Linked DNA regions of Arabidopsis thaliana. The protein of the gene in region 3 interacts with the protein of the main gene of each other region in a pairwise test. Each region holds a gene or a part of one and is shown on either strand. Other genes may lie near its edges.

What was found.
Region 1: the proteins of MYB47 (region 3) and AT3G54130 interact in a two-hybrid assay, tested with the Arabidopsis thaliana proteins (one large-scale study listed by BioGRID).
Region 2: the proteins of MYB47 (region 3) and HB20 interact in a two-hybrid assay, tested with the Arabidopsis thaliana proteins (one large-scale study listed by BioGRID).

What each region holds. Positions count from the first base shown.
Region 1 is NC_003074.8:20,040,623-20,047,518, reverse strand, and holds AT3G54130 (Josephin family protein), read left to right. Parts: upstream 1-2,938; 5' UTR 2,939-3,089; coding exon 3,090-3,344; intron 3,345-4,036; coding exon 4,037-4,624; 3' UTR 4,625-4,878; downstream 4,879-6,896. Other genes in the region: PTR1 (peptide transporter 1), read left to right, coding at 1-81, 166-719, 800-1,634; AT3G54120 (Reticulon family protein), read left to right, coding at 5,386-5,455, 5,558-5,738, 5,803-6,014, 6,102-6,250; PUMP1 (plant uncoupling mitochondrial protein 1), read right to left, coding at 6,523-6,567, 6,672-6,758, 6,842-6,896. UniProt on the Arabidopsis thaliana protein: Interacts with key regulators of transcription and represses transcription. Acts as a histone-binding protein that regulates transcription. Acts as a deubiquitinating enzyme.
Region 2 is NC_003074.8:69,257-76,816, forward strand, and holds HB20 (homeobox protein 20), read left to right. Parts: upstream 1-4,050; 5' UTR 4,051-4,342; coding exon 4,343-4,481; intron 4,482-4,557; coding exon 4,558-4,943; intron 4,944-5,703; coding exon 5,704-6,039; 3' UTR 6,040-6,283; downstream 6,284-7,560. Other genes in the region: RP2 (PPDK regulatory protein 2), read right to left, coding at 570-676, 816-1,455, 1,706-2,092; AT3G01210 (RNA-binding (RRM/RBD/RNP motifs) family protein), read left to right, coding at 2,926-3,041, 3,126-3,201, 3,272-3,370, 3,445-3,903. UniProt on the Arabidopsis thaliana protein: Probable transcription factor.
Region 3 is NC_003070.9:6,446,673-6,454,693, forward strand, and holds MYB47 (myb domain protein 47), read left to right. Parts: upstream 1-3,912; 5' UTR 3,913-4,108; coding exon 4,109-4,241; intron 4,242-5,403; coding exon 5,404-5,533; intron 5,534-5,773; coding exon 5,774-6,314; 3' UTR 6,315-6,591; downstream 6,592-8,021.

The DNA.
Region 1 (6,896 bases), on a different chromosome or scaffold from region 3:
CCTTTGATTGGAGCCTTTATAGCTGATGCTTACCTTGGACGATATTGGACTATTGCAACTTTTGTTTTCATCTATGTCTCCGTGAGTTTTACTTGTTTCTTATCTTTTGGTTAAAAATGTGAATCTTTTGGTTAAAACTAATTAAGTTTGTTTTTTCTCTTGAAGGGTATGACTCTTTTGACATTATCAGCTTCAGTTCCTGGACTTAAACCAGGTAACTGCAATGCTGATACTTGTCATCCAAATTCTAGTCAGACTGCTGTTTTCTTTGTCGCGCTTTATATGATTGCTCTTGGAACTGGCGGTATAAAGCCGTGTGTTTCGTCCTTTGGAGCTGATCAGTTTGATGAGAATGATGAGAATGAGAAGATCAAGAAAAGTTCTTTCTTCAACTGGTTTTACTTCTCCATTAATGTTGGAGCTCTCATTGCTGCAACTGTTCTCGTCTGGATACAAATGAATGTTGGTTGGGGATGGGGTTTCGGTGTTCCAACAGTCGCGATGGTTATCGCGGTTTGCTTTTTCTTCTTCGGAAGCCGTTTTTACAGACTTCAGAGACCTGGAGGGAGTCCACTTACTAGGATCTTTCAGGTTATAGTAGCGGCTTTTCGGAAGATAAGTGTTAAGGTTCCAGAGGACAAGTCTCTGCTCTTTGAAACTGCAGATGATGAGAGTAACATCAAAGGTAGCCGGAAACTTGTGCACACAGATAACTTAAAGTAAGAAACTAAAGTTTGAATCTTTATCCTAACTTCAAAAATACTCTGTTTTCAAATCTAAAGTTTTGAAAACATCTCAGGTTTTTTGACAAGGCAGCGGTTGAGAGTCAATCTGATAGCATCAAAGACGGGGAAGTCAATCCATGGAGACTATGTTCTGTTACTCAAGTTGAAGAACTTAAGTCAATAATCACACTTCTTCCAGTTTGGGCCACAGGAATAGTCTTCGCCACAGTGTACAGCCAAATGAGCACAATGTTTGTGTTACAAGGAAACACAATGGACCAACACATGGGAAAAAACTTTGAAATCCCATCAGCTTCACTCTCACTTTTCGACACTGTCAGTGTACTCTTCTGGACTCCTGTCTATGACCAGTTCATTATCCCGCTGGCAAGAAAGTTCACACGCAATGAACGAGGCTTCACTCAGCTTCAACGTATGGGTATAGGTCTTGTGGTCTCCATCTTTGCCATGATCACTGCAGGAGTCTTGGAGGTTGTCAGGCTTGATTATGTCAAAACTCACAATGCATATGACCAAAAACAGATCCATATGTCGATATTCTGGCAGATACCGCAGTATTTACTTATCGGTTGTGCAGAAGTTTTCACCTTTATAGGTCAGCTTGAGTTTTTCTATGATCAGGCTCCTGATGCCATGAGAAGTCTCTGCTCTGCTTTGTCGTTGACCACGGTTGCGTTGGGGAACTATTTGAGCACAGTTCTTGTGACGGTTGTGATGAAGATAACGAAGAAGAACGGTAAACCGGGTTGGATACCGGATAACTTGAACCGAGGCCATCTTGATTACTTTTTCTACTTGTTGGCAACTCTCAGTTTCCTCAACTTCTTAGTGTACCTCTGGATTTCAAAACGCTACAAATACAAGAAAGCTGTTGGTCGAGCACATTGATCAAGAAACTGGTGTGGAAGATATTTGGAGTTAACAGTATTTGTTTGAAAAGTGTTTTGCTTGTAAATGTTTTTTGTATGTGGTCTAGTTGTTGTTGGTGTGTTAGGTTTGTTTTGGTTTTGCTTATGTATTTCTGAATACTTCCAGTCTTCCACTTATATGTAAAAGGCTATTGGTAACTATTTTATGAGCTTTTTGCTTAAAGCTTTTTGACCGTCTGATAATATGTCCTCCTATATTTTGCCATTGCTCTTAAGAAACTTATTATATACATTGGAAGTTATAAGCAATAAGCTGGGAAATAAAATCAAAAACTAAACAACAGCATGGGAAATCTTAACAAAAAGCAAAGCACATAGGATCCTATTGTCAATACATATGTAAACTTACTACTAGACATTAAACAAAGAGATCAAGTATTTTCTTCTGTTTCTTTGAAGATGTCTTTACTTTTGACTATATATCTGAACTGTTTGGAAAATGCTCAAGATCAGGATGCATAAGGAAGCCCCCTTGGCTTCTTGGAGGTTGTCTAACAAGATTGAGACAAGCAAGCGTCAAAAACAGATTTTGATTCTGGGGTTTATTTGTTCAGTAAAACCCATGGTTTATATATATATAGTCAGAAACAAGCTTTTTATTGAGCTCAACTATATGCACATAGAAAAAGAGAAAGTTTTTTTGTCATTTTACGAATGTGGTGGTGCGATGAAGCCAGGTTTGGTCACTAAATGAGCGGAAGCGGAAATAGCCAGCAGGACTATCTGGAAATGAAACCAAACCTAATCATTTAACAAAGTATAATCAACTCTAGCCTTGCAATTATATGGCTAAGAAGGAAAAATTTAGACCATAATAAGAGTTTAGAACAAACAGGTAGAAGTAGTAGATGTATTACCTTGATGAAAGAATCAGAGGGCGTAAAAGCTTATACAGAATCTCATTCTTTAAATCTGTCACTAACTTATCTAAATTCTTAAACTGTTCACGGACATTGCTGCTAGTGCTCTCAGTAGTATAATTCCTAACTCTGTATTAGTGCTCTCAGACGTGGTTATTACGAAATGCAGGCATAAACCAACCCGATCATACCCATCACATTATCAGAAGTCGCCATCAAAGAGATCACCAGAAATCTTGGGAAGCAAGGAACCTAAGTTGGTCTGTCAATTTTGAGATAATGGGCCTATCTCAAAACAGTATCGGGCTCGTCTGCAAAATAAGAAAAAGGCCTAGAAAGTCGGTTATTACACGTGGCATCCTTTTATTGTATATTTACTTTTCCGTCCCTTACATTTTCTTATTTAAATAATCTGTTAACTTGCTTCTTCTTCTTCTTTCTTCATCTTCATCTTCATCTTCGCTTCACAATCTCTTTGAGACTTTTGCATCGGAGCAATAATAATATATTCATCGCAAAATCAGTGAATTTTGATATTCAAATCTTAATCGGCGATGGAACGAACAAGCAACGGAGGAATGTTGTATCACGAGGTTCAAGAGTCAAATCTGTGCGCCGTACACTGCGTCAACACGGTGTTGCAAGGGCCTTTCTTCTCTGAATTCGATTTGGCTGCCGTCGCCGCCGATCTAGACGGGAAGGAGCGTCAGGTTATGCTTGAAGGTGCTGCCGTTGGAGGTTTTGCTCCCGGCGATTTCTTAGCTGAAGAGTCGCACAATGTTTCCCTCGGCGGCGATTTTAGTATCCAGGTACGAATTCGCGATGAAATTGATAAATCTTGAGTTGCATTCAACATTTATATATTGTAAAGCCTTTTTGTTATTGTGTTGTTGGAAGTTTAGGCAAAATTAGGGTTTCGATTTTATGGTGCTTTTGATTGCTGTGTTTATGCTGAAGTGATAAACTTTTGAATGGTTGGATTCGTTTTTAGATAGATTCAAGAAGAATTGAGATCAGTAATGGTGTGAATTTGCGATCTTTACTTTGGGTTAAAACTCATTTGTTGAAGGCTAGTTTCATTGTGCGAACATTGCTATGCTGATAAATGGAGGAACTTGAGATGATTTTTTTTATCTTGGGACTCAATTGTTTTGGATATGTTAGTTATTAGTGAGGTTCTGTATATTCAATTATCATCTTTTGTTTCTTGGATAGCTTTAAACCGAGTTGGTTGATAACTTGATATTTGATTAGGTTGCTACAAAAGTCAGGTTTGATTGCAAGATTTATGTATTGAGATTCAAGGGTATAGTATGGTGTTTTACATCACATTTTTAGATATCTAAAATTAAAGCTATTTTAACGGATTACGTTGAAGTTGGATGCGGATAAAACACTGCAAACAGAGGGTTTATGCGATTGGTGTAGCATTTTAATCTTGCAAAGTTGATCTAGTCTTTGCTTATTCGTTTAACTGAGAATGCTTCTGTTTGATTGACAGGTCTTGCAAAAAGCTTTGGAAGTGTGGGATCTACAAGTAATTCCACTCAATTGTCCAGATGCAGAGCCTGCGCAGATAGACCCTGAGCTTGAAAGCGCCTTTATCTGCCACTTGCATGACCATTGGTTTTGTATAAGGAAAGTGAATGGCGAATGGTATAACTTTGATAGTCTCCTTGCTGCCCCGCAACATTTATCGAAGTTCTACCTTTCTGCGTTCTTAGACTCTCTCAAAGGCGCAGGATGGAGTATCTTCATAGTGAAAGGAAACTTCCCTCAGGAATGTCCCATGTCGTCTTCTTCTGAAGCTTCCAATAGTTTCGGGCAGTGGCTTTCTCCTGAAGACGCAGAGAGAATAAGAAAGAACACGAGCTCAGGTTCTTCTGCCAGAAACAAGAGAAGTAATGACAATGTTAATCAACAAAGACGGAATCAGGCATTGTCACGTGAGGAAGTGCAGGCTTTTTCAGAGATGGAAGATGATGACTTGAAGGCAGCAATTGCAGCAAGTTTGCTTGATGCTTCTGCTGCTGAGGCCAATCTCGGAGCTGTGGGCACTTCTGAAAAGGAAACTGAGAAACAAAAGTAGCAGAGAAAATAGAGAACAAGTGTTATTGATGGAGGTGGTGGGATATTCACTTTTGTTTCTTTGTTTTGGTTTGTTATCAAGAGTTATCAACAATTTTACATACAGAACAGAGAAAGAAAAAAGCTTACATCGAAAGATAGAAAACAGAGGATAATAAATGGTTTGTGGAATTGTTTTTGTTTGATTTTTTTACCATATTAAATTCTTCTGACAATCTTAAATTGAGGATAAAGATTCGACCTTTTCGAATTCATAGGAAACTACATCTGAAAAGGGTACATAAATTACTTCAGTTGACTAAAAGTAGATGAATGACCAATTTAAATGTGTTCTATGGAAAATATAAAAGGATGGTGTAAAATTTGATTCATCTCTAAGTACAATCTGGCGAACTTTTACAGTTTGAAAAAAACAAGAAGGATAACACTTTTAGGCTGGAAATAAAAACATCGAGAGGACAACAAACACCTTCTTTTTCCCTAAACAGAGCATAGCCTTTGAATTATTAATTAATTATTTGTATATTCAAAGTTGATGGCTTTGATGATGATGGTGATGACCCAACTTTAGTCTCTTCTTCACTTTTTATTTTTACTTTCTTTGTGATACATCAGGTTCCTTCGATTCGAGCCTTTAGGATTTCCTTTCACATAATGATCTGTTTCTGACATTCAGAGAAAGATATACATATCTGGGTTACTTTTGGGATCTGATCATCTGAGGAAATCTGAATCCAAGTTTGCTCTGATCTTTCTTCTCAAATGAGTTCTTCTTCGGACAAGTTGTTCAACAGAGACAGGACAATACATGAGATTCTGGGAGGAGGCATTGGTTAGTGAATACATTTCTTTACCAAATCCAAAACTTATAAAAGCTAGGTGATCTCTCACCTCTATAGCCTTTTTTTTTTCTTGTTATGAAATGAATCTGCAGTTGCAGATGTGATGCTGTGGAGGAAGAAGAATGTGAGTGTTGGTATAGTTACAGTGACAATAGCTTCATGGATGGTGTTTGAGGCATTTGCTTACACTATCTTTACTCTTATTTCAAGTGTTCTTCTTCTCTTGCTCTCTATTCTCTTCCTCTGGTCCAAATCTGCTTCCATTCTCAACAGGTATATTAATATTCACTTGTAACTAATATTACTTCATTTCTGATTCAATTTCTTGGCTCTTCAGGCCATCACCGCCGTTACCGGAGTTTCAAATAAGTGAAGCGATGGCGGAAGAAGCTTCGATATGGTTACGTATTCATGTGAACAAGCTACTCCAAGTTTCGCATGACATTGCAATGGCAAGAGACTCAGAGTTGTATACCAAAGTAGCAGTGTCACTGTTTCTTCTCTCATTGATCGGAAGTCTCATGGATTTTCAGACACTTTGCCACACCAGTAAGTAGATATTCTAAAACTCCTATAGACTTGGAATGCTTTTGAGCTGGATATTCATTTTGTGGTTGTTCTTGGTTAATTTGGCAGGCGTTTTGGTGGTTATGACGGTTCCAGCTTTCTATGAGAGATATGAGGATTACATTGTTGGCTCTATTGAGTTTATCTGCAACAAAACTAGAGAGCTTTACCTTAGACTCGAGATATGGGCTAATCCGGAAAATAAGAAACTGAGCTGAGATGCTGTCACCTCTTTCTTCTTCAGGAGTTTCTTTTTCTGATTTTTCTCGGTTTTGTGGAAAGAAAGGAGAAAAATGTATGATTTTTGATAAATGTTGGATGGTACAGCCAATATATGAGCAATCCACAGAAATTTTATTTCACAGTTTTACTCGAAAACTGAATCTCTATTCCGAAAACAATATTCGACCAAGTTCTGGCCTCTCTCAATCACCGAAAATGAAGAAGAAAACAATGTTGCTCTTATTCCCTCTGCTTAAAACTATGTGTCTCAGTTTCTTTTGGACGCATCGAGTTCCCGGACATACTTCTTTGCCTGGATTAGAGTATTAAGAACCCGGATTAGAAAATGAGAAAGAAGACTTTGCGTGACCGATTCGAATGCGATTGCGATAAAATAAAAATTCTATCAGTTGTTACCTGTTCGAGGGTCAAAAACATGATTACGTTCCATGAGCCAAGGCGTCCAAAGTTGGGGATGAAACCCTTGTAAAATGCCATAGGACCCTGTAGAGGAAACCGTAAAGAGTTTGTAACATTTTCTGGGTTATATCTAGAACAATGGAGGTATCAGAAGCAGAGTTGCTTACGTCGCTCTTCAGAGTTTTGACGAAGCAGTCAATGGTGCCCTTGTAAGCACCAGAA
Region 2 (7,560 bases), on a different chromosome or scaffold from region 3:
GTTACCAATTAGCATCTTATTAATCATGTGGATGAACAGATTGAATAGCAATAATCATCCACATAAATTGACAGTCGAAAAAACCTTGCATGTTTCCAGGTTCATCGTTTACTTACAGGAAGAAAATATCACTAATTAGTTATATAAATCGAAGATGGACACAAATCTCTGATCATCTACTTTGGATAATCAGAAGATTTTTTGGTAATTACCGAAATATTCATTCATAAACGAATAGAAAGAGTCAAAATAGATTAACTAAAATGACATTAAGTTTTGGATGACTTTTCTTGAACTTGCTAAACACACCCAAATTGCAACGTTGCAACTAAATGCTAATGACAGATATTCTTTTGTTTTATAGACTAGTAATAAAAGAATTCAGAGTAGCCACAATTATTAGTTTTCGTTATCCTTCATCCTCTTACATTCGTTGACTAAAACATATGATTCATCATGCCTCGGTTGGATTTGTTATTCAACTTATTATTATAGACATATATTACTTTATTCACTTGATACTTTATCGACACTGGTGTTTCATCCTCTCTACGGTCAAAGGAGTGTGCTTAGTAGCGTTTTGAGATACGCGGTACCGTAGTACTAGTGTCTCTACCGTCATGGTACAGCCGCAGAATCACAGCCGCGGTTTCTTCAATCGCCTTATTCGTCACATCTGCAAGCGCCACAACCCCAAGAATAACACATGAGAATACTCTGCCTACTTGTTAACTTTTTTTCTTACTAGCATTAAAAGGAAAGAAAAAAACAGCATTTTGAGTAGCAAATGAGAATGGTGTTTAAGTTTTGTTTACCTATCACTGCCCATCCGGGGTTTCGCTCATAGATCCTTGACGCGAAATCTAGTTCTTTCCGAACAAGATCAATCCCCGAGTAATTGTTCTCTGCCTCTGTATCTACGCCTAGCGTTTTAACCCTTGTTCTTCTAATCGCTTGCAGTACAACGAGCTGGATCTTCAAACCAAAAACTTTTCTCGGTTCAACCTGAAAGAGCGTCCTGGGTGGTTCCACGCCCATCACAAACGGCACATTAGCAACTTTGTACCCTTTTTGAGCAATGTAAGTGGACAAGGGCGTCTTCCCTGTCCGGGAAACCCCGACAAGAACTATATCAGCCTTGCTTAAGTTCTCAGGTAAAGTCCCATCATCTTGCTTAATGGTAAACTCAATGGCTTCAATCCTTTTGAAATATGCATCATTGAGAGTCTTGACCCTACCAGGTGCTCCACGTGTAAGACCTGACGGAGAAACACCTAAGTGAGACGCAATCCCTTCGATGATTGGTCCTAGAATATCAACCGAAAGCACACCCAACTGATCACAAGCTTGCTTTGCGGATTTTGCCATAGAAGGATTTGCTAAAGTGTAGAAACACATTGCCCCTTCCTTTGCCGCTTGCTTAATAATCTCGATAAGCCTCTCCTCATCCTCAACCTGATCAATCCCCAACCCAAAACCAAAGTAATGACAATTCTCAAAACCTAACACTTTCGGTTTAAAAGTCAAGTTTTTTCTTGCTCAGATGATCACTAATTGCAACTAGCATTCACTAAGATATAATCAGTTTCCATGTAATGATCCAATTTTATCTATCCTATGAGCAATTCTACTAGCAACATTCACAGAGAATTCTAAGAAAGGACATATTTTTTCCTGAAAGTAAGAAGATTTGATTTTCATTTACCCAGGAGAAGAGATGGGTATTCACAGAAGAGCCACGATTCAACGAAAAATCTTCGAATTGTCCCAAAGCGGCGTTAACGGAATGCTCTGCCGTCCACCCAGTTCCGTCGGAAACCAAATATATAGACTTTCCCGCCGTTACCTCCACGTCGATCGCCGTCGTCTTCTTATCAGCCTCATCGGTCGGTTGGGCTTCCGTTACTTGACGGCGAGGTGAGTTATCGGAACGGGGAATTGGACGGTCAAGCTTAACACCAGATCTTAAAGCTCGGCCCCTAGACCACCGATTCAATTTGGGACTAATCTTCAGCTTCGGACTCGACGAACCTGTCGGAATTGGAGGTTCGGAATTAGGCTCGTGATGGCCCGAGACGCCGTGTAAATTCATATCGCCAAAGTTTATGATAACTTTTTTTTTTTTTTTTTTCTGAGCGACGGTTAAGGCGTTAACCGCTAAATTGCGTTCCGATGAAAAATTGACGAAAATGTCCTCACTAATTACTTGGGCTTGAAAACAGATATTTGGGCTTTAAAAAGCCTAAGTAAAAAGTGCCCAAAAGACTCGTGGAAACAATAATAACACGCGCATCGCTAGAGCTTACGTTTGACGCGTATCGTCGACCACAACATCGATATCGATCGAGCCGACAAAAGAAAAAAAATTATGTGAACATTCCTCTTCTTTCTTTTTTGGTTTAAATGTTAACATTCCTCTTCTTTCTTTTTTTGTTTAAATTTGAAGAATCCTCTTTCTCTCTCACAATCACACGAATCTTGTCTTCTTTTCTCTCCGTCTCTTTCGATACTTGGCTTCAATCCTGTGACGTCCTGTTCTATTGTGCCTTAATCGGGTAATCTAAAACAGAACATACACTATCAGTTTTTTTTCGTGCCCTGCTTCTCGAAGTTTCCGATTGTGTGGTTGGTTGATACATATCTCATTGATTATCTTTGTTACTGTTACTTTCATCTCTTATCTCATTCAATTATAATCTAGGGTTCTTACTTCTTCTTTCTTCCCTCTCCGCTAACTATTTGGCCTGGACACCTTTTTTATTTTTTTTATTTGAATCATTATAGTAATCGTAGCTTTGTAGATTTCTTGCTGTATAAATCTCTAGAAAATCGCTCAACGGTTCACGGAATGTGATTCAAGAATCTTGTTTATGTTTGTTCTTTGATTTAGGTATCTAGGTTCGTGTGAGAAAACAGAACAATATAATGTATCCTTGTGGTTACGTTGCTCAAGTCACCAACTTGTCTCCTCAAGCCACTGAGAAAGATGTTCATAGGTTCTTCTCTCACTGTGGTATCGTCGAGCTCGTTGAAATCACCGGGTAACAACAACGTTCATTGTTCAGTAAATTATTAATCATTCTTGAATCTGTTTATATTTTGTTTCATGTCTCCATGGATTTCAGGTGCCAAGGGGATGCATTAACGGCTTATGTAACCTTCAGAGATGCGTATGCTCTGGATATGGCTGTGTTACTTAGCGTAAGTCCCTTAATTAGCTAGAAATTTCCAGTATGATCTTCTTGGCATTGATTTTAATGTTGATCTTCAGGGAGCTACGATCGTTGATCAAACCGTTTGGATATCGGTCTACGGTGTCTATTTACATGAATCTAACAATCTCAGACAAGAAGAAGACTATAGTGTTACGGTAACATTAAAAACAATACTTACTAGGTTACTTTAGGTTATAAGCCAAAGATTCTCGAAAATGTTTCTTTGTAGGTGACTCGTTCAGACGCGTTTGCTTCATCGCCTGGAGAGGCCATAACCGTGGCTCAACAAGTTGTGCAGACGATGTTAGCTAAAGGCTACGTTTTAAGCAAAGACGCGATTGGTAAAGCCAAAGCTTTGGATGAGTCTCAGAGATTTTCAAGCTTGGTAGCGACCAAATTGGCAGAGATCAGCCATTACCTTGGCCTCACACAGAACATTCAGTCGAGTATGGAACTCGTGAGATCAGCGGACGAGAAGTATCATTTCTCGGATTTCACTAAATCCGCGGTTCTTGTCACGGGCACAGCTGCTGTAGCCGCAGCCACCATTACAGGGAAAGTGGCTGCAGCTGCAGCGACTAGTGTGGTCAACAGTCGTTACTTTGCTAATGGGGCTTTATGGTTCTCAGATGCTTTGGGCCGGGCTGCAAAAGCAGCGGCCCATATCGGTGGAGGAGGAAGCAATTGATGTAAAAAGTCTTTGGGCTTCCTTGGAAAACATAAATAAATGATATGTGAGGTTTTAAAGCATAAAAGGTGTTGTGAAAAGAAAAAGAAAAAAAAAACCATCATGAAGATATGATTAGTAACGTTACATGATCGAAAATATTTGAGGCAGAAACTATAAAATAACTTTATTACATGAACTGGAGAATATATATGAAATATAATAATAAGCCTAAAGCTTTTAAAATATTAAGGATGGGTCCTAGAAACCTCCCTAGCTTGATCCTTTCCTCATTCTTTCTCTCTCTTTCTCTTATATGAGAGGTTGATGAGATCCACAAGAAACACCTAACTCATTTGATAGTGATTTCCAAATCTGCAAACAACAAAGTATATTTGATCATCACTATACTGATTTCACAATCCATTAATCACTGATAGGTTTTTGGTGGAATACATACATGTATGTGTTTGATCCAACAACAGAAGCTGGATTGAGATTAGAGATGGCGTTTCCTCAACATGGTTTTATGTTCCAACAACTTCATGAAGACAACAGTCAAGATCAGCTCCCTTCTTGTCCTCCTCATCTCTTCAATGGTACTATACTCTCTCTTTCTCTCACTATTTCTCCACATAAATAGATTTGAGTCATGAATTCTGTTGGTGTATATAGGAGGAGGAAACTACATGATGAACAGATCTATGTCTTTAATGAACGTGCAAGAAGATCATAATCAAACCTTGGATGAGGAGAATCTATCAGACGATGGGGCACATACTATGCTGGGAGAGAAGAAGAAGAGGCTGCAATTAGAGCAAGTTAAGGCATTAGAGAAGAGCTTTGAGCTTGGTAACAAGCTGGAGCCAGAGAGGAAGATACAACTAGCTAAAGCATTAGGGATGCAACCAAGACAGATCGCGATTTGGTTTCAAAACAGGAGAGCTAGGTGGAAGACTAGACAGCTCGAGAGAGATTATGATTCACTCAAGAAACAGTTTGAGTCTCTTAAATCCGACAATGCTTCTCTACTTGCCTATAACAAGAAACTCCTTGCTGAGGTATGTATCTATATAAGTAAGTATATATGTGTGTTTATATAGTAAATAAGGTGTTTAATTCAACTTTCATTTCTAATTTGATTGTGTTTGTTTTTTTCTTTGGTTTTTTTATTTTTGGTTTTGCACTAATAGTAATAACCAACGTAAAATAAATCTAGGACTACAAATATTTTTCTGATTATTGGCTTGGATTGGTACTATTTATGTAGTATATATATATGTGTATATATATCAGTGTATATATATATATATATGTATGTATCTTGTGTGTATTAAAGTCGTTTAATACGAAATGCAATAGATTATTGTTAGGCACATGATCCAACACTATAAGATGTTTGTCAAAAGACAGTAGGTGTTTTGTTTATTAATAAAAAGGATTCTTGATCAATATTTACAATTTAATTAATACATTCCCATATGACTATCAAGTAATGGCATGTGTGCGCTAACCAAATTTGACAAGAATACTGATTTTTATATCATATCATTTTTGTGTGTTTTAAATGATTTTACTACTTATTGAAATGTAATAGTTACAAGATTTTCAAAAATTACTTAAGCTAAGTATATGTAAATATATAATTTACATATATAGTCTTACAGTTTATCTATTTTAAGTTATTAGTCATTTTAAAAATATTTTGTTAATTTAAATTATATATAATTATGTTTATTTTAATGATATATAGAAATGATAATTTTTAATATCTGAATTTCTAAAACTTAACATTTGAATTGTGTGTGATGATGGTTAAAGGTAATGGCTTTAAAGAACAAAGAATGTAATGAAGGAAACATAGTAAAGAGAGAAGCAGAAGCTTCATGGAGCAACAACGGAAGCACAGAGAATAGTTCAGACATCAATCTGGAGATGCCTAGAGAGACCATTACAACACATGTGAACACGATCAAAGACCTATTCCCTTCATCGATTCGATCATCTGCACATGATGATGATCATCATCAGAATCATGAAATAGTTCAAGAAGAAAGCCTTTGTAACATGTTTAATGGCATTGATGAAACGACGCCGGCTGGTTACTGGGCATGGTCTGACCCAAACCACAACCACCACCACCACCAGTTCAACTGATTCATGATTCTAAAGCTCAAAAAAAAGTCATCAGCACGCATCAAGACAAATGATCATAATCATCATCATCATATCATCAGGAGAAGATCAAGACACAATTCTTCTCTTTGGAATTATGTTATTGCTACTCATTTCAATTTAAATTAATGGAGCATTTTGTTTTCTTTGGGTTTGTAGAGCATTGGTGTATAGTGCGAAAATTTGTTGTTGCTTTAATTTAATAAAAATCATAAAGTTCTTTGCATTCGGCCGTAACATTGTTAGATGTATGTGGATTGATCACAGTTTACAATATATGTAAATGGTTCAAAAAAGCATAACCACTCTCTTTTACTTCCCGAACAAAACTCTCCTCTAACCAATTGAGTGAGATTAAAAATCATGATTTTTCTCAACTTATATGTCCAATTTTATATATATATGATGGGTTGGTACAAATTTATTAAGAAAGTAAGGATATAAAAGTGAGAAAGATTCATATGCATGTGACTTCGAGTGGGATTCCAGCTCTGTCTTTGACATAACATGATCCATGACTAATATTATATGCAAAGATTATTTTAATATATATTTTATATTTTATGATTTTATCTTTGCAAGTTGCAATTTAAATCTTAATGGATTAATGGAACCATTAACTTTTTATTATAAAAAAAAAAAAAAACTATGCCATGCGTCACGTAGTTGCATGTAATACCAAATACAGTATTCACGTTCACTTCATCTACATAGACATATCTATTCTTTGTTGGTTCAAAATTGTTTTGAGTGAAATGAATCTATTCAATGGTAGTAATTTTGTTGTTGTGAGCTAAGTTTTAATCAGCGAGAGGTATCATACATTACCTTCTTCTTCTTTTTGTCAACAACATGTGTCAGGGTCACTATCCTACATTACTTTATAAAAATAATTACGTTAATTCATTTTAAAAATATATAAGAAAGAATAGTGAATTTAGGAAAGAAGAAGATTATTAAGAAGCACACGTTCCAAACACAAAGAAGAACAGACCAAAAAGAAGAAAACAAAAGTGGAAACAGTGTTGAAAGAGTTCACTCTTGTTCTTTTGGTTTCTTTCTCTTTAAGCCGAATCTTGTGTTTTTCTTTTTCAGCGGAATTTACATAAGAGGACATTGCTATCCCAAGTTGAGAAGTAGCAACTGTCAACCCTACGGACTAAATATTTGTGCATACATATACGATGGGTAGTTTCTTGGACTAGCTAGAATTAATATGTAATTATAATGTTTCTCAAATATATATGAAATCATCGATAGATATGAACATAAATATTCTGGTGAGGACAGGTGCACATGATTCTATATGCTGAGACGGGTATCAAACTCGATCATGAATCATTTTTATTTGTATGAAAAACAAAAAGTATCTGTTATATTAATTGTAACTATTTTAAGATACATTGCGAGATAACTAAATTAACAAAATCTCAGCGCAGAAAAAAAGAAAGAAAAATACAAATTACAATATTAGTATAGTAATACATTTCATTTAATTGATGC
Region 3 (8,021 bases):
GGATGACATGTGATGGACTGCTAAAATAGATATATATGTAGACGAGACGATATCCCATGCTAAAATAGATAGTGTCACCCAATTCAACGTAACTAGTAAATATGAAGGTGTTCCGACTTTAGAAAAATGCCATTTATGTATTACATATCATCATATGTTTATTTAAGAAAATAATAAGAATGCCGCCGCGCAGACGCACTCTCTCACAAAGCTTCTCTAATAGACAATTTGTATCAAACCTTCACTACAACACCTCTTTGGTTGTGCAAAGTACTATCTGTTTATCGTTTAATGAAAGTTTGAAGTTGTCAAGGAAAAAAAAACAGATCCATATTTTGAATGATTCTGAGCGGATAAACGAATAAAAACTGATATAATGAATATTTTTCCCAAATTTAGTTTGAAAATGAGCCATACCCTGGTTACAAATCTCATGTGAGTGACGATGTAGAAAGTGACATCAAAGATAGTACTTTGTTTGCGTCCACATACGGTAAAAAAAAAAAAAAAAAAAAAAAAAAACTGATTTACAAAGAAGCTTGAACCGATATAGAATTAGAATATAAATATCATACACAACATGACATCCTAAAATGTATAAAGAAAATAAAACTAAACAAAGTTGAAACATATCCTTTTCAAGTATGGATATCTCGATCTCTCACCCATCTTCACAGACGACAGTTATTTTTGTACTTTCAATATCCTTTACATGTCTTGGCAAATTGGTTGTCCATCTCTGTTTGACTGTCCGGGATTTTTGGGACGAATTAATCTGGAAAAAAACATTGACAGATCTATTAAAGTAGTTTAACAAAAAAAAAGATAGATCTATTAGAGTAAAAAATGGCTTTTGGAATTAAAATCTCTATATTTCAGGCCTATCATGTTGCTCCACATGGGACAACCATAAGACATCCCAAGAAAGACTCGCAACAACATCAACCTTATCTTGTTTTTTTTCATCTTTTATTTTGTTTTTGTTTTTCAATTTCAGCCACAGATTTACAAGATTAAGACAATTATTGGAGATCCTCAGGATCATATCTCAAATGTTTTGGGACTTCTACAAATTAAAGTCTTCATGTGACTTTTGTTTATTATATATACAAAAAACTCATATGTGATACTTTCAAAAAAACTTTTATTTTCGTCAATATTCTACCTACTCGTAATAAGAATTGGGTTATTGATCAAATTTTTGTCGACCGAATTGATTAAAAATAAATAAATATATATATATATATATATATATATATATATAAACCGGAGATCAAATTAATAGTTCGGATATACTTCCATGGATGCAAAAATAAAGTATCAAACTTCATTTATCATGTAGAATATATATTAAAGGATATGTAAGATACAATCATTTATAATTTGTTTCGGTTTCACACTTAATATAGTTGAGCCGCGTTAATCATTGTTCTCACTTCTCACTGTTTTTTTGTTTCCCCCAAAGAAAACTTCTCACTGATTTACACGTACGCTATGTATAAATCCACGAATTTGTTTTTTTTTTATTTAACTATACCAATTATTGACACGTGCTTAAATTCGGTAAAAGTCGCATACTTTAAAATATTTTTCTTTCCTTTTACATTTTAAAATATTTGAGGCGAAGTTTTCACACTTATATATTATGGTGACATGTTGGCTTGTATAGTAATTGTATGGTTCTATACAGATGCTGAGCACATGTCAAAAACAATATAAATACAAGTACAAAATTTTGATAGAAGCAATTCGAAAGATAGCAATACAAATAAAAATGCTACTAGATAAAAGTAGGACAGTTTAAAGAAATAAAAATTTATCAAAAATTTTGATATAGAGTAAGTATCAATAATTTGGGAAAAAAAAATCTAGCTCCACTTCACCACCTTTGTATAGCCACTTCACTTTGTACAACCCAATATTAGGTATTTGTACTACTCTTTTAATATAAACTATGCAATGCTTCTATTTGCACACTTTTGTATAATTCCTATGATTGGTTACATACAAGGCCTTACAATCATTACCACTACTAGTTTATATATGTAACTAATCAAAACCATAATCATTATATTTGATTGTCTATTTGTTTTGTTTGGCACAACTATTTACTAACAAATTAAACCAAATCTTATTATATTTAATCTCCATGTGGTCGAAAAATTAAATATAGTTTTTTATATTATCAATTGTGATGAGACCCCTCTATCACATTTTTCTTGATTTGTTTGTAGCTATTGTAGAAGAAGAAAACAACTACTTAAAAAAAAAAAAAAAAAAAAACTTTCAGAAGTGATAATCTTTGTCCGAAAGAGATTGATAGATGACTTTGATAATGAGAAACAAATACACAAAAAAAAGCATTTACAAAAAGTACAAAAACGAGAATCATATATATATATATATATATATATATACTGAAAAGAAAAAGAGAATTACATATTTAATCATACAAAAAGAAATTAAAAACAAGAAAAAGTGAATGATTGTTGGGATTATTTCTCGTTAATATGAAAATGTCTACCATGAAATGATATGTGAACTAACGACTTTAATTCACTAAAGAAGAGGGTATCCCACATCAATGATAAGTTTGGCATCAACAATCATGCACAATTGCACATCACGCCTCTGAGTAGGCGCATGAGTGTGTGAATGAGGAAATATGAAAAGGATGAGAGAGCAAAAAGATTTCACACAGATCACAGATGGAATTCGAATCATTCGACCAAGAAATATGTGAGGAATTCGAATCACAGGTCTTACGCAGTCAACGGACCATCCTTTTTTCTATATTAATTTCTAACTTCTAACTATAACATTCAAAAAGTCCAAAATATGTGAGGAATGATTAATGTGAACACTGGTAGGTTTATTTACTGTTTTTCCATTTATTTACATTGACCTAGTGTAATGGTATCATACTATCATCTGCAATCTGTAGTGCCACGTCGCCCCAAAAATAATGATTACCACATCCACATGCTCTTCTACTAATTAACCGTTCCAAAAAATTATCTAGTATCGTCACTAATTAATAGTATAAAGTAAGATTATCATATACGTTTATCAAAAAAAGAGGTGTGAGACTATCATACTTTTATTAATAGCCAGGAAGAGAAAGAAGAAAACGTTCAACGTACTAACACTATTCAGTATCCACACATGTGCGGGAATATATGAATAAATAATAGTATCATTTACCATTTTTTATAACAAGATCATCTTACTTTAGCTCTAACCCCTTTTTGTTTCTAGATTGTCTACGAATATAAAATAAAAATATAGTATTAAAATTTTATACGTGGCTAAACTTACATTTTATTGTATTATATCACGTTAAAGCTAAGTGACTAACGAATTATATATACGATATAATAATAATAATTTGTGGTTAATTTTAAAATTTTGTTAATAAATGTTCTATAAAAATTAATATATATTGATAAATATGAAATTTATTAAAACAAATTTATCAAAAATTTCATGGTTACGTACAAAAAATATATAATCACCAATTCACCATTTTGTTTATATATGTTCTTATTAGATTTTGATATTTTGATAGGTAAAAAATAAATAAATACTGGGGTAATAATTTACGAAAAGTTTTTAAGTGTTAGATAGTACACCTTCCATTTAAAATTAATTGTCGTTTAAAGTTTTTTCACGAGTATAACTAATACGAAACAAAAAAAGTAATAGATACTATCTTTTCTTTTCTTCTTTTACCTCTTTACACATAAATTTTGGCAAGATTTGGGTATTTGGTATGGTAATAGACTAATAGTAGAAATTTGTGCTCGATAAAACTTTCGATATCTAACGGCAGGAATTCGAAGTAAAATCCAACGGCGGAAATATAATAATACCAAAACAGGGGGGGGCTATATAATTGTATAACCCTAATTAGAATAACGCATCCCACTACTCATTCTCTCGAGAGCATCCTACAGAGTAAAACGTGTAGAGAGAGACTCACTTTTTTTTCTGGAGAGAGAGACACACTTTCAAATAAATAATTGAACTTGTTTAAAATTTGTCTTCTCGTGAGGTGGTGAAACGTGGCAATATTAGATTGGTTTTTTAGTTTGGTTGGCTGGAGAAAATGGGGAGGACGACATGGTTCGACGTCGACGGGATGAAGAAAGGAGAGTGGACGGCAGAGGAAGACCAGAAGCTCGGCGCTTACATCAACGAGCATGGCGTTTGTGATTGGCGTTCCCTCCCCAAAAGAGCTGGTATAATATAAACATGTCATTCATAAAAGTGCATTTTAGTTTGTGCTCATATGAAATTGTGTCTTCTTCTACTCTTTTTCATTAGATATGTATTTGGAACAAGGGATTTGTTGAAGTCTAGATAAATTCTAGTTGCTGCCCTATGAAAATATGCGTGTATATATGTAGCAAAACACTTGGGATATTTATATTTATATTCCATAAACATATAGAGAAGTGTATGCATCTATATGTTGTGTTTTTGCAAAACTGTGTTACAACATATTTTCTTCTTCTCACTTTTTTTTTTGTTTTCTTAATAAACTAATTTGGGAACAACGAGTTTACAGAAAGTATAAATTCGAATTGCTGCCTATTAATATATTGCACGTAGGTATGTAGCAACATAGTTGGATTAAGAACATCTAAAAAGCATGTGTTAAGTATATAGAATATTTAACATTGTTTTTGGTTCGTATATATATCTTTAAAATGTTTTAAAATGATTAAGACAATATTGAAGATACTTTCTTTGTACTTTCTTTCCCCTATTTGTTGCTGAAAGTTCTCATTTGTATTATTAGAGGACTATGAGTTAAATCATAAGTGGGTATATTAATATACACACCGAAATTTTCGGGATTGGAAATTTGTTACATATGTAGAGATTCTCTTCTACATGCTGAAGTGAATAGTATAATCCATGTTCTTTGAATTCAAAATCACTGATGATTTTTTTTTCTTATAATGATTTTTGCAACCAAATCAAGAATGAATATTGAAAGTACGTACTTACACATACACCCATGTTTTATAATACTTTTTAGTCCATGATTGATTATAATTTTTGTAGATGCTTATTTCTATTTAGTAGAAACTCATACCAATTCTTTCACAAAAAAAGAAACTCATACCAATTATATCCATATGATACTATAAAAAATGATTTCCATCTTTTAACGGTGCTCAAGAGCGACAGGTGTTCCCTGTGCTTTGTCCATATACATAGTGGTTGGAAAATTCCTTGTTTTTTTAAGACCCAATCTCGAAAAGTTGAAGCTTTTACAACTTCCTTGCTTTCAAATCCTCCAGTGTTAATAAAAAGTTTAATTCTTGGCAGATTCTTTTGTTTGCCACTACAAAAGCACAATTATTTCTTCGAATAATTTATTATGAAAAACAGGTTTGCAGAGATGTGGAAAGAGCTGCAGATTAAGGTGGCTTAACTATCTAAAGCCTGGGATTAGAAGAGGCAAATTCACTCCTCAAGAAGAAGAAGAAATCATCCAACTTCATGCTGTTCTCGGAAACAGGTTAATTATCAAGTTATATATATGTAACATTATATACTTTGGTAGAGAGTCCACATATATACTTCAGTAATGATTAACCACTCTGACGTTAATTTATATGTTAAGTGATCTTTCCACAAAGTTTGGAGATTAATTTGAATTTTTTTATTTGGGATCTTCGGAAACAATATTAATTTATCTTTTTTTTTTTTTTTTTTGATAAAGGACATACTAAATCTTGTTATTCTTGAAAAAATAAAGGTGGGCAGCCATGGCGAAGAAGATGCAGAATCGAACAGACAATGATATCAAGAACCATTGGAACTCTTGTCTCAAGAAAAGACTTTCGAGAAAGGGAATCGACCCTATGACCCACGAGCCCATCATCAAACACCTCACCGTCAATACCACTAACGCAGATTGTGGTAACTCTTCCACCACGACGTCCCCGTCGACGACGGAAAGCTCTCCTTCCTCCGGCTCGTCTCGTCTTCTTAACAAACTCGCCGCAGGTATCTCATCTAGACAACATAGTCTCGATAGGATCAAGTACATCTTGTCGAATTCAATAATCGAAAGCAGTGATCAAGCAAAAGAGGAAGAAGAAAAAGAAGAAGAAGAAGAAGAAAGAGATTCAATGATGGGTCAGAAGATTGACGGTAGTGAAGGAGAAGATATTCAGATTTGGGGCGAGGAGGAAGTTAGGCGTTTAATGGAGATTGATGCAATGGATATGTACGAGATGACTTCGTACGACGCTGTCATGTACGAGAGTAGTCACATACTTGATCATCTCTTTTGACTTAATATAGTGTGACTGTGTGAGTGCATGCATGTTGTTAGCATATGCTAAGATATGTTTTAAAGTTGCAAGTTGCAACAATGAATATTAACGTGGACCATTTTTTGACAAAGAGAAAATGGTTCCCTAAAGAGCAAGTCGTCGTATAGCTTTTTTTTTTTCAAAGGAAAAAAAATTAAAAAAGAGAGAGATCGTCGTTTAACATGTGGGGTTCAGTTAGGACATACAATTGTAATAAGAATTTTCAATAAAATACTGGGAAATATTTAATCAAAATAAAAATATTTTTACGCCAAAATATTTAATAAAAATAAAAATATTTTCCAATATTTCATTGAAAATTCTTATTACAGTTGTATGTCCTAATAAAAATAAGTCTATTTTTAATGCAAGATCACGATTATAGAAGATAGATAAACATTTAAAATGCTTATGGAATATTTAAATATGTATATGATCTATTGAAAAAAAAATGTTAAAAAAAAAATCTGTTACTTTTAATTTTTTAAGTAAAGTGTTAAACATTTCTTTGAAAGCTTTTTGGATTTTATCAACGTAATCATCACTACGAATCAAGGACTCATTAATGGTGCACGTGATTGAAAGTGTGAAAAATAGACAGTATGTCGTCATTAGGGACACGTCTGAACATGAAACTTGGACACGTCTGTACAAAATTAATGCTGCAGGTATTTGCCTATCATCCTGACTTATTTACATTTCTGTGTTTATTTTCTTTTTCCGAACATGAAACTTGGGTATTTAGCCAGAACCGAATGAATTTCTAAAATGTATTTAAATTCAAGCCGAGTTGAGGTTAACTTTAGATCAATTGGTACAATTTCGTTCTATACAATCAAAACCATAACTATGTTTAAGCCCACGCAATTATAAATATTAACATTGATTTAATCTCATGAAATTTTGTTTTTGATGGGTATAACAAAATCTTTTGGTATCAATTGGTACCAAACTACCAATCAATGAGTTTCAATTTTAAAAGTTTGTGTTCATTTTATGTGTTTGTCTCAATTGTTTTCCTTTTTGATGTCCAATTTATTGTCATCTCTGTGTTTCTTTTTACGTAAAAAAAAAAAAAAGGAAATGACAAAAAAATATATTACCAAACACAGAAAATTGAAGGTCCACTAAAACAAAATTGACTCCTCTACTTTTCTTCATGTTTGGGATAATTTTGTTTTTTTAATAATATTTTTAAAAATAGAGAACTGATATTTGGTAAAGAACAAAATGACACTTTGATTCAGAAATTTTTATTGTCTACATTTCTGACCCATCATGCTGCTCCACATGTGACATCTCTTCTCAACTAGTCAATGCAATCAAGGTGACGATATAAAAAAGTAAGAATTTAAGCTCTCTATAGGCTAACAACAACATCAACTTTATCATAATGTTTTTTCAAAATAATTTTTTCCTTTCAATGATTTAGTGTGAGCATATGCTTTCAACTCAAAACTAAATGAAAATTTGTAAAAAAGCGTAAGTTGTTATTAATATATTAGTCTAGACTTCTTTTGATTTTATTTTTAATATATATATATATATATATACTTTTAATTGTGTGAATATGCATGTATTTATAATCTTACTGATATTGTGTGATATACTACTATAACATGTATCCTGAGTTTTATATTCGCCATAGTTTATAATGCTATACTACAATTAGGGGTATCAAAATGG